Saccharomyces cerevisiae S288C: one gene and its partner. Changing the gene in region 2 together with the main gene of any one other region gives a genetic interaction. Each region holds a gene or a part of one and is shown on either strand. Other genes may lie near its edges.

The links.
Region 1: mutations in BCK1 (region 2) and GUP1 together harm fitness more than expected from each alone (negative genetic interaction), as found in Saccharomyces cerevisiae (5 studies listed by BioGRID).

The regions. Positions count from the first base shown.
Region 1 is NC_001139.9:350,116-354,295, forward strand, and holds GUP1 (O-acyltransferase), read right to left. Parts: upstream 2,184-4,180; coding exon 501-2,183; downstream 1-500. Other genes in the region: LCL3 (Lcl3p), read left to right, coding at 1-325; SCY1 (Scy1p), read left to right, coding at 2,943-4,180. UniProt on the Saccharomyces cerevisiae protein: Membrane-bound O-acyltransferase involved in the remodeling of glycosylphosphatidylinositol (GPI) anchors. Acts only on GPI-anchored proteins, but not on free GPI lipids.
Region 2 is NC_001142.9:244,874-253,021, reverse strand, and holds BCK1 (mitogen-activated protein kinase kinase kinase BCK1), read right to left. Parts: upstream 5,768-8,148; coding exon 1,331-5,767; downstream 1-1,330. Other genes in the region: KHA1 (Kha1p), read left to right, coding at 1-1,201; mitochondrial 54S ribosomal protein bL21m MRPL49, read right to left, coding at 6,047-6,532; enoyl-CoA hydratase PHS1, read right to left, coding at 6,778-7,431; SAP185 (Sap185p), read right to left, coding at 7,764-8,148. UniProt on the Saccharomyces cerevisiae protein: Serine/threonine protein kinase involved in a signal transduction pathway that plays a role in yeast cell morphogenesis and cell growth. This pathway seems to start by SMP3; then involve the kinase PKC1 that may act on this kinase.

The sequences.
Region 1 (4,180 bases), on a different chromosome or scaffold from region 2:
TCAACCGTTTGGTAATGAAGCTTTAATTTGGTTACAAAACCGAATTTTGGGAAAGAAAGTATGGGTCAAGCCTTTATCTATAGATCAGTACAACCGTTGTGTAGCTCGAGTGTCATACTGGGACTGGTTTGGTGGGTGGAAAGACTTAAGCTTAGAAATGCTCAAGGATGGATTAGCGGTTGTTTATGAGGGTAAAGTAAACACAGAATTTGATGATAGAGAAGATAAGTATCGATATTATGAATTTTTGGCAAGATCTAGAAAAAAGGGACTGTGGATCCAGAATAAATTTGAAACGCCTGGTGAATATAAAAAACGTATTTGAGTTTTCGAGAGGATTTTTATCCATCATACTGCAGATTTTCATATTATATGTTCATTAGCTTTTCACGCTTCCTCTCGATATTTTTTTATTTATTTTCGGTTTCATTTTTGTACTAGTAGATAAAAATACATACATGATAGCAGTGTTATACAATTGATATTCGTAAATTTGGCATTCAGCATTTTAGGTAAATTCCGTGCCTCTTTTCTTCTTCTCTGATTTCAAACATTATTTGTACTGCGATGAATAAACTAACGCTTGCCAAAATTACAAATTTGAAACCAGATACGGTACAGAACATATCGCTTAGTAATTTTTTAGTACCGTCAGAGCCCAAGCAGAATCCAAAAAGATTAGCGATCATCATAACCCATATGTTGAAAACAGCACCGACAGCGCAAACGTGTCTGTACCAGACTGCGTCGGTATAATGAGAGAAAATTTGGGTAGCAAAAATTTCTGGTAAGAGGAACAAAACTATTAGCCAACCCCATAATAATAACTTTAGTTCGATGTCATGCCATATAGCTACGAAGGAAAAGACTGCTAGTGATGTCAAAACTCTATTTTTTGAACCACCTAGAGGAATATATATGTAACGGACAACCCACTTATTGTAGCTTCTATGCCAAGCTCTCCAGAATGCTAGTGAACTGTAATTGTTATCAACACACCTGATCATATTTTCAGGTGTATCGATTCCGTCTAGCAAAGCCCACAGCCTAAACAGCCTCCACGGAATCAGTAGTTTTAGCCAAATAATATTCAAATTAAATAAGCCAATCATGGAAATCTGGAAAGGTGTGTCATTTTCCCACGCTTTGGTTTTTGAGATTGCCACAACGTGGAGAAAGTGTAAAATGAACTCCATAGATAAGAGAGCAATAACGAATCTCACCGCATAGTAAAAAATGAATTTGAAATTTATTGATGGCAAGGTATGTTTCGATTGGTAAACATAATCATTGAATGTTATAATGGGGCCGGCAATGAAAAGTGGCGTGTAAGTAACATATGCAATATAATTCATTAAGCTGTAGTCCTGTATGGGGTGTGCAGCAGTTAATCTAGCACGTTCATTGAGCAAAATGGCTGATTTAGCTTCTTTTGATTCATAGGATGGACTTTTCTTCTTTTGTAAATTCTCCCACCTCTCTAAGAAGTCCAAGTTGTAACTTAAGACTCTCAAAAGAGTAAAATTGAAAAAGACATCCCATCTTGGAATGATACCTCTATACCAATGGTCCAATGGGCTTAAAAAAGAGCAAATATTACCAAATGGATATGCTCTGAAGTTGTCGTTAATAAAAAGCGTAGAAATACCATAAATCCAAATGCTGATGGTGGCTATTCTTCTAAAGTTCTTTAGTACATGGGCGATGGCATATAAAATTAGCATATGGGCTAAAATTCTTATCGAATTGACACCATGAGCGGCCACTAAAAAGATCAAACCAAATATCAGATCAAACCTCAATTTAGTGATATTTGTTGAATAAAGTACAATGCGTTTTATAGAAGTGTGGACTAGCATTAAAACTGACAATAGCGCAAAATTGTCCCTGAAAAACCTATATTGAGAATCACTATTGTCTACTTTTCTGCCAAATAACCAACCTTGAGATAGGAGACGTTCGTATCTTGCATAGTTTGGATTTTCGGGCGAACTAGCTTGTAACCCAGCATAGAACATCAAGGGAACCACGACCAGAAATGCAATGTAGTAGAATTTGAACTCAGTAGTTTTCCATAGTGATGGCTTAGTGGTAGTAGAGGCATCCTTTTTTGGTGAAGGTTTGATTCTTGAATCTAAGCCCTCGGAAGTAATTAGGGGAGACAGGATGCTGATCAGCGACATTTCTTGCAATTGTCTGTTAACAAATGCTGATTCACGCTTTGTTTTTGCCTTTGTATGATTAACATCTATATATCGAAAGCAATATGCTAAGTTATTATTCTTACCCTTTCAGTGTCCTTTTTGGCACACCCACTAAACATAAAGAGAAATACGTGAACACCTATACACCCTATATTATTTTGATTGTTCAACATTGCTTGATTCATCATCCATTCTCCAGCTCTCGAATCTTGTTTCTGGCTTTTCCAAGATTATGTGAAAATTAACTTACTCTTTTTGGTCGATAAATAATTACAAGTTCAAGTGCATGTCTAATTGGAAACTTATTTTTATGTCCGATTGAGCTGATGTTCAGCTAGTTTATGTTTATACAAGAAAAATGCTCACCCGTACATATGCTCCTTCTTCACTCATTTTCTTGTCCTGTTGTTGAGACATTCAACTTTGATCCTGCTCTTGTACTTTTATGATTCATTACTTATATATTGGTCTTCATTATTCTCGAGATGAAATTCTCAGGGTCTTTTAAAAAAAAAGTTTCAGTAGGAAAACTAAACGTAATTAAACTATTCTTCGGTTCGAACCTGAAGTTGCGTGAAAAAAAGGGTACTGCAGTCTTGAAAAAATAGAAGCCAAAAAGAAGTTAATATCAAAACAAATAAATCTTGCACATATTAAAGCGCACAAAAGTATTCAAAACAGTGTAACTTCGAATATCGTATCATTAAGGAAAATAGGACACACTTTGATTGAGCAGGGATGATGTTTTGGTCCTCAAAGACGGGTATCACGTCAAAATATTCATTTTCATCATCACCTACTTTCACAGCTGAACCATGGAGCATTTACACCGGTCGTCCCAAATCTTCATCTTCATCTTCACCTTCCAAAGTATCGATATTCATGTTTGACAAGAAGCAGTTCGAAAACTATTTGTTACACTATGGTATTATTAAATCCAAATCTGGATCCAGAGATAAAGTATTAATACAAGAAGCGTACGAAATATTAAGAAACCAGGCCAATAACTTGGCCAAGCTCAAGCACCCAAATATTCTGACTTTAATTGAACCATTAGAAGAACATAGCAAGAATTTCATGTTCGTCACCGAGTTTGTCACTAGCTCATTGGAGACCGTTTTCAGAGAAACCGATGATGAAGAGCAGAATTTCTTACAAGGTCATGTTAAAGATAATATCGTGGTACAGCGAGGTATATTGCAACTGGTAAATGCACTCGATTTTGTTCATAACCGCGCAAGCTTTGTACACTTGAACATTCAACCTAGGGCAATATTTATCAATGAAAATTCTGATTGGAAAATTTCCGGCTTAGGCTATTTAGTAAAAATACCACCAGGCACAAATACCTCTGAATACTTCTTACCTCAATATGATCCCAGAGTTCCCCCATTTATGCATTTACAATTGAATTATACGGCCCCAGAAATTGTTTTTGAGAATACCCTAACCTTTAAGAACGATTATTTTTCTTTAGGATTGTTGATATATTTTCTGTACACTGGTAAAGACTTGTTTCGCAGCGAAAATTCGACTAGTGAATATAAATTGGAGTACAACAAGTTTGAAAGCAAAATTAGTACAATGTCATGGGATAATATATTCAGTAAGGTTCCACAAAAGTTGAGGCATTGTATACCCAAGCTAATAAACAGAGACATCTATTCCAGATATGATAACATAACGTTGATTTTAGATTCTGAGTTTTTCCAAGATCCGTTAGTCAAAACCTTGAATTTTTTAGACGATTTACCTACCAAAAATAACGAAGAAAAATACGTATTCTTAGAGGGTCTCGTGAATCTGCTGCCAGAGTTTCCGCCAGCATTATTGCAAAAGAAGTTCTTGCCCATTTTATTGGAACTATTAAGTCAGTTTTGTGCTGAGAAGGTCGTAAGTGATAAATGTGTGGGTAAAAGTTTGGATTTGATAATCAAGATAGGGTCCACTTTATCTCAGTTGTCCTTTCAAGAGAA
Region 2 (8,148 bases):
CAAATATAGAATTGGTGAACTGACCACGGTGATAAACACTACAGAAGCGATCTCTCCATCTCTAAAGCTGCTAAATTACCTGTCTTTAGGGGTATCTCCCAAGCCTAAGAATAATAAACATAAGAACGAAACCTCCTTGAGCAGAATGACAACAGCTACTGATTCCACATTGAAATCTAACACATTCAAAATAAAAAAGATGGTTCATATCTGGTCTAAAAGCGTTGACGATGTGGATACCAATTTAAGTGTTATAGATGAAAAATTGACCCCGTTTGAGGGAGTCGGTGCATTGAGGGCCATTCATTTACGATTGCTCACTGAACGGACAACTGATCTGCTGCAATCATCTTCTCTATATAATGATGATCCCCACTTTACCGCAAATACAGATTCACTATTACAAATTTTTGATATATTTTCAAACCTGAGCAAAATACCATTTTCAAGTGAAGTCATATTTTCTACAATGCGTGAAAAGGCAGCTAATATAGCGACGATGAAAATGGATTCCACAGATCTGATCTTATTGCCATTAAAAGGGGCCTCGTATGAGTATAGAGGGAGCCCAGTCTTCATTGATGAAAAATACGCAAACTTTGATCACATTTATTCTCATCTCCTAGGTCTGAATGAACTATCATCTACTTTCTTCAAGTCTATTTTCCAGTCACTCAAGGCAAATTTTGCCGTTCAAATTTCAAATACCTATGGCAGATTAAATGCTGATCGCTTTAAGAGGAAACGGTTCAATTTATTACTTCCAAAACCATACCTGACACAATCCGATTATCTTGGACTATATCTTCTCTTATTGATATGCTATAGAGATGGCTATAATAATGATAATGCATCCTGTAGTATATTTATTAACAGCAAGAATATTGATTTCGCAAAAGATTTGTCAACTGCATTTGCTGAGCATGACTGGCTAAACGAATCTACCATTAAAATTGTGGATATCCCCTTTGAAACGAAAGTTCCAGAAGAAGCAATTGAAAAGCCGTCCTTTATAGAGACTGTGCTTGATGTTGGTTTATCAGATACTGCTTTAGCTGATATAGAGGAGACTACCTTTATTATTGGAGAGGACCTTCCTGATGAAAGTGAGCCCTTCAGCGAAGAGGTGAGGACTGTAATATTTGAAGGGTCGAATCGTCGTTTTGACACCCTTATTGTGCACCATTTTTCGTCTGAATAAGTATCAGCAGAAATTTTTTAATTTTCTTTGTTCTTAATTTTCAGTCATTCCGTCATTCCGTCATCTATGTTTATTGTTCTATATTATTACGTATGCATAAATATCTTAAGTATAGATCGATCCTAATAGCTATTCAGTTTTATTCTCCTGAGAGGTTATCCTTAATTTTGAAGAGTTTAACTTATCATTTGACTTTATAAACTTCGCGAGTCTGGTAGATTTGAAATTGAATGTTTCATTTACTTCACTAAAAGGATGAGAAAGAAGCTCGTTAGCGGTTGGCCTTTTCTCTGGATTTATCTCGAAGCATGCGTCCAGAAAATTTCGTCCGATTTGCGATATCAATGGTAAAGTGTCCTCAGGAATTGGTGGTGCCGATTTTGACTTTCCAATTTTGAACATGGCTGCGACGACTTCTAAGTTGGACCACGGGCGCTTACCAGCAAACATTTCCAGAACGATGCATCCCAGAGACCATATATCAACTTTTGCACTGTAGCCTTGCTTTGTATCAACCATTTCAGGAGCCATCCAGAAGACTGTTCCTCGCATGGTCATATCCGAATTAGAGTATATGTCCTTTGATTTTCTTGAAATTCCGAAGTCACTGATTTTGCAGATACCATCTTGATCCAAAAGTAAGTTGTCTGCCTTCATATCCCTGTGGAGAATACCTTTCGAGTGTAGGTATGCCAATCCTTTTAATACTTGTGTTGTTAAATGTTTGATCAACGGTTCATCGAATCTTCCATACATTCTAATCAAGGATCCCACGGAGCCACCAGCAACATATTCTAAAAACAAACTGTAAATATTGTTTTTATTCTCAAAACCTAAGTATTGAACAATATTAAGATGATCTAAATCTTTTAACGTGGACACTTCAGATCTTAATGCTTCCACGGTACTTAGAATGGCTTCATTTTGTGAGCTATACTTGGGGACCTCAACCTGCTTAACGGCCATCATCTCACCTGTAGTAACGTTTAAACATAAATAAACAGCACCGAAAGATCCCTTCCCTATCATTTCACCCTTCATCCAGGCGAATTCCTTATACTCACCTTTCGAATTTTTGGCTTTATTAATTGACACCATATGGTTTTCGGTCACTTCGACCATTCTTGTACCCCACATTTTGGTGTTCTGTCTTTTTAGTTTTACAGAGTTTTTTCTTGCTAAACTAGCTTCATGTGCAATGGTTCTTATGGTTTTTGTTCTTTTAGGTGTCTTAGCTTGATTCAATGGTTTATTTTTACCGTTAAGTCCATCCTGTATGAACTCGTATGAGCTATCAGGAGGGACGGGACGGGAAGGAGTGCTTGGCTCAGTTCTCGATGAAGCCACATTCTTTGGTGAAAGTAGGCTGTCTAAGGATTTCGGAGATGTTGGTGAAGCTATTCCTTCAGTGATTGGCTTATCTAAGTTAGCCCTTGGGAAGAATTTCTCTAAATTTTGATAAACGACCTCCGGAGATGGTCTAAAGGTCATCTTTCTCTCCATTTTGTCCTGCGTTTGAGAATCATAGAATATTTCGTCAGAATGCGTAGAACTGTTATCGCTTTTCTCATCCTTTTTGTTTTCATTATTAGTCTCAGGAGCTGTTTTTTTCTTGGACCAGATAATGTCATCGGATGAACTAGAATCGTCATCACTATCATCGCTGTCAAACATCGGCGGAGCATCCGCGAATGTTATGTCATTCTCTTCAAATATATCGGCCGCAGATGTCGACGAAACAACTCTTTTTGAGTTACCTCTTTTTAACAATGGTGAAGGAGAATAGAAAATTGAATTTGAAGTCGATACAGTTGAATTTGAGCGATTCACTTTCTGTTTCATTTTCAAAGATGGGGAAGTACTCGTCGAGTCCTGGTCTGTTTTCAACCTACGCATAACATCGTTTGCACCCTTATAAGGTTGCGGTATCAAAACATGAGTCGAAGCAGGAGTATATGAGGAAGTAAGCGAATCAGGAGACGAGCTGCTAGCTTCTATAGGAGATGATAATAATTGTGGCGGCAATGGTTTCGATCTTTTGCTTCTCGAAATTTTTGTACTTGCCCTCACTAGGCGGATCGGTTTATTCTGTTTAGAAGTTGATAAGGTCCTCTGAGGAGAAGTATTTGCGGGAGGCTTGGGAGCTTCTCTTTTTGGTGCCAGTTCTGGTTTTGTATAAGGCGATTCCCTACGATGATTGAAATCAATTTCAGTCCCCTCATCTTTTCTTAGCACTTGAAAACTACTCTTGCTTTCATTTTCTGTTATGGGGGTAGGAATATTTAATTTACTTCCTTTATCTGGTAGGTTGAGTTCTAATTTTGGACTTGTTTTAAAAACCATTTTTGGTGCATTTTCCTCATGAGAAAGAACTTCTTTAATATTCCAATAATTCAATTCTTCAGTTGGATTAGTATTGGAAACTCTGTCATAGTAATAACTCGGGGTTTGGGGGTACCTGCGCCCACTTCCTGATGCATGTTCATCAAATGATGTTATGTCAGAAGACGAAGTGACAATGGAAACATCATCTGTCGATGCTATCAGACTGCTTGTTCCGGACCTCATTGAACTCTTACTTTTCACCGATTTTAAAGGAACATTGTTTTCTGAGGTGAGAGGAGCAGGTTTCGGTTTTTGTTGAAGCTTCATTTGGTCTTTGATATAAATTTTTCCAGAAGTGTTCAAAAACAAGCTTTTTTTCAAAAATTCCAAAGTATCATCTGGAATTGCAGCACCAATATCGCAATCAAAGTCTGTCATATGGAAAGTGACATTTTTGTGATTGATTCCCAATTTTGTGAGAGCAGATTCTTTGAAACTGGATAATTTTGCTACACTTTTTAAGTTTAGCGGAACAAAACTAACATTATCTTTGGTAACCAGAATATATTTATTCTCACTATCATTTAACCCTGTTTTCTTCAGAGGATAAAATTTTTGGTCCAGTAAAAAGTTCTTTACACTATACTTTTGATTATTTACCGGCACTGGAACTGTCTTGTCTGGATTAATACAATCAGGATACGTTTCTTTAAAAGACGCCGTGGTTGAAGAAATTTTAGGTGTATCTTCTGTGCTGATGACCTCCAAACTTCTGTTTGCAGTTTTGGGTATTGGCGGTGGTGATGAAGATGGAGATGGTATATTTACATCTGCCGTTTGTACGGTTAAGGTAGCAGTACTCGAATTCGATTTTAAGGATGGAGTTTCTTGAGACGTTACATAAGCTACCGTATTTGGGCTAGGAACCCCTATTTGGCTCTTTCTTTTGAATTTATTCCATAAATTACCTTTATCATCCGAAGTGGGTAGTGAAGATTGTTTTAAAGGTGAAGACACATTAGTTTCATAGTGTTTAGATTTTCCTTTAGCTAAATTTTCACTAGACAGACTATGACCTTGTGGATTAGGCTTTGTTGGAGCTTCCTCGCCTATTCCACTACCAAAAAGGGAATTTAATAATGACGACTCAGATGAACTACTTTTGTGATGTCTTCTAAATATGCTAGGATACGAAGGAGATGCAGGTGGGCTCGCCGATTTGGTAAGTGTACTGTTAGATTCAATAATTGAGTGCGGCCGAGCCGGTATACTTAACTTGATGTTTGAAGGTGATTTTGCTGAGGAAGCATTGCTCGATGATGAGCCTCTTAGGGATATAAAACTTCTTCTGTATAGTGAACTTGCGCTTTTGGTTTTTTGGTGTGTTGAAGTAGAATGTAAAAAATTCTTTTCATCGGTCTTGGAAGGGCCCGATTTTGTTGGGCTCAATGCAGATTCTGACGTTGATCTAGAATTTGAAATATCCTCTTGCGATTTACTATTTTTTAATTTTGATTTGATCGATTCGCTGGAAGACCTGGAACTTTTAAGTTTGCTAGCGCTCTTCTGACGAATATGGCTATTTGTTACGTTCTTGGTCATTGTTTTTTTCAATAACTGCTGAAACCTGGTATATGAAGCAGTTTTAGTCTGCGGCAAATACTTTTCATAAACAGCGAAATTATCATATGCAAGCAACTTTATAAATCTGTGACCAAACAATTGATGCTTTTTGAAAAACAATATCCAGGATTCTGGAAAATCATGAAATTTAAACCATGAGGTGACGCGATGCATTGTCCATTCATCAGGGTCTGTAGGATCCCACGATAGAATTAGCTTGTCAAAGGACAAACTATTTACGCTATTGCCACCGGAGGATTTCCTCGAATCAGAGAGGCTACTAGGTCCATTGTCATTTTTATAAGAACTGTTTGTAAAGCTCGTTGGGTTTTCAAGCGTTCCAGCTGAGATGTGGTCATCTGTCGTCCAATTAAAGGATTGTTCGATAACTGGCGTGCTTTCGTAAAACTGAGAAGAGGTAGAGTTGGGGGTTAGGTTGGGAAATTGGCTTCTAATATCATCATAAATGCTTTTGCGAGATGTTGCACGAGGGCTTTTGCTTGAACTTTTGGTTGATGCTACCGAACTAGTCGGCTGATGGCCGAATTTCACAGATGAGTTCGAATCAGACCTAGAATGTGTATGTGCTGTCCCCGCTATTTTCCTCAAAAAGGGCATTTGGAGGTGGAGTTGAACTATTTTAATACTATATTTAGTGTTTCGTACTAATGGTCACCCCTCTGCCCTTGTTTTTTTATTTTTTTTTTTGGTGAATCCATTACCTGATTTTATTATTATGCTTACTTTTAATTAACTTGTTGAAATTTCATAGCATTATAACTTAGAAGACGCGTCGGTCTGGAATTGAATGGCCATTGGGGCCGAAGAAAGTGTGTCAAATTTTATTGTTATTTACATGATTTTATACGTATGCGTATATGTACATATCCCTAAAATTCAGTTCATACTCAGTTCTGATATTCTTAAGATTGTCAAATCACCTTTACTCTTTGCATGACGGACCCGTCTATTTCTTCTCTTCGTTACCTCCCTAGTTTGGAAAGCCCTTTTAGTTTTCCCAACAACGGTTGCTTTTAAAGTATACAGAGAAGTATTGATTGGATGACCAACTAGCTTGTAGTTTCTAGATCCTAAAGTTGTTACATCGGTCATGTTTAAAATGTCACCCACCTCCGCTTGCTTCAATTTGAATGGAAGAATAACTCTGTCGCCCTCGGTCACCAAATATGGACGATTATGAATCTTGAATATTGCATATAGTTCATTTGATAATTTTAGTGGAGTTGTATCTGTCTTAGTAGTCTTAGCTTTTGTACTACTGATGCTTGAGGAAGTAGCTAAATTTCTGAATGGATGACTGGTAAATGGCCTATAAATAGGTGTGATTCTGGCCACTGGCCATATGAATTTCAGTTGTAGCATGAAAATTAGAGCAACACACTTAAGATTGTCTCGGCACAGTTGTTTCAGTAGGCTGTGAAGGTCGACTCCGAGTGAGCTTCGACATCTTTCTAAGAGTTCTCTAATTCGGCTACCCTTCGCAATTTTGCTCAATATAAAGCCCGTGCACCGCAAGATACTAGTGATTATGGTTAAGAGCGTTGAAGCCATTTCAATGTGAAGGCTAATATTCTTATAAAAAATACAGAAGAATTTATCTAAAGAATTCAAATTAGTTTCTTCCCGAAAGAGGATCTTAAACTTTTCATGACTTTCTTTCTCTGTGCTACCATGTGTAGGAAGAGCATTGGGAAGCCTGGGATATAAGCGAGCATGGCCGCTATTAAAATTCTTTTGTAAAGTAAAGAATACTGAGATTCAGCTGCATTTAAAGCACAGTAAATAATGCGTAGTTCGCTGGCAACACCAGTGGGGTACAAAATCCAGAACAAATTATATCTTAATAGAATTAAGATCTTTGGTGCGCCATTCTTGAATACCAACATGAAAAAATAATACAAGTATCTGACGATCTCAGTTATAGACCATGCCAGTAATAATGATATGTAAACAACTGATTGAACACCACTTGTGTTTGGCAACAATTGGAAGATGCCGAGGACAACTAGTAGTCTTGAAGACACTTGTGCAACAGTGGTCAGCAATGGGGAACGTACAACTCCTAAAAATGAGTTTATGATCTCGATTATAGCACCACATTGAACAAGGGTAGCGACATTTTTAGTTTGGTAGAAGAATGCTGGCTGTCCAACTTTTGGGTACAAGGAGATGACCAAGTAAAGCAAATAAGACCAACCAACAGCAGAAAGCAAATTATAAAGGGGTAAGAAGGACAATGGTGACGCAAGTTTTTTTGACATATTGTAGAAATTGCTTGGAGTTGTGCTTCTTCTTGTGTGATGATGAGTTATTTTGTATTTTGGATGCTCTTGATGGACCAATTCTGAGTTCGAATAAATTCAACAGAATTTCGAAAAAAAGTACACGAAAAAGAAAACGCCTTTTTCCTTTTTGAATACTAAACAATCGAAGTAAGTTATCAAACGGGCAAAGTCGCAATAAGGCACTAGACAGCATATGTAGTCCAAACGATTGTGAGTTAGGAAATACATGTGTTATTGTATAATTATTATTCTTATTATTATTGTTATTAATATTAGAATTATTAGAATTATTTAATTAGTATTATTTCCTAGTCCCTGTAATGCTCTGAATTAAATTTTACAACGCCCATTAATCGCGCCTGTTCTTCTTCATCCCATGATATCTTGTCCTTACTTTTGGATCTACACAATGCATATGCGGCGGAATCAGCATAATCCAAACTGTCTTCGTCTTCACAGTTATCATACTCTTCATCACTGTCATCGCTCAGTTCATCGTATTCATCTATGTCGTAGTCATGGCCTTCCGCGCTTAATATTTCGTCTTTATGACCTCCAAATTCATCGGTGGGGCTATGAAGTTCAAACTGGTGTTGAAACATAGGTGAATTCATGCCATTTTTTGATGGAGAAGCACGCTTGGGTATAGAATTAGAAGGTGATGACTCCCAGCCGTCACTAAGTTCATTGCTA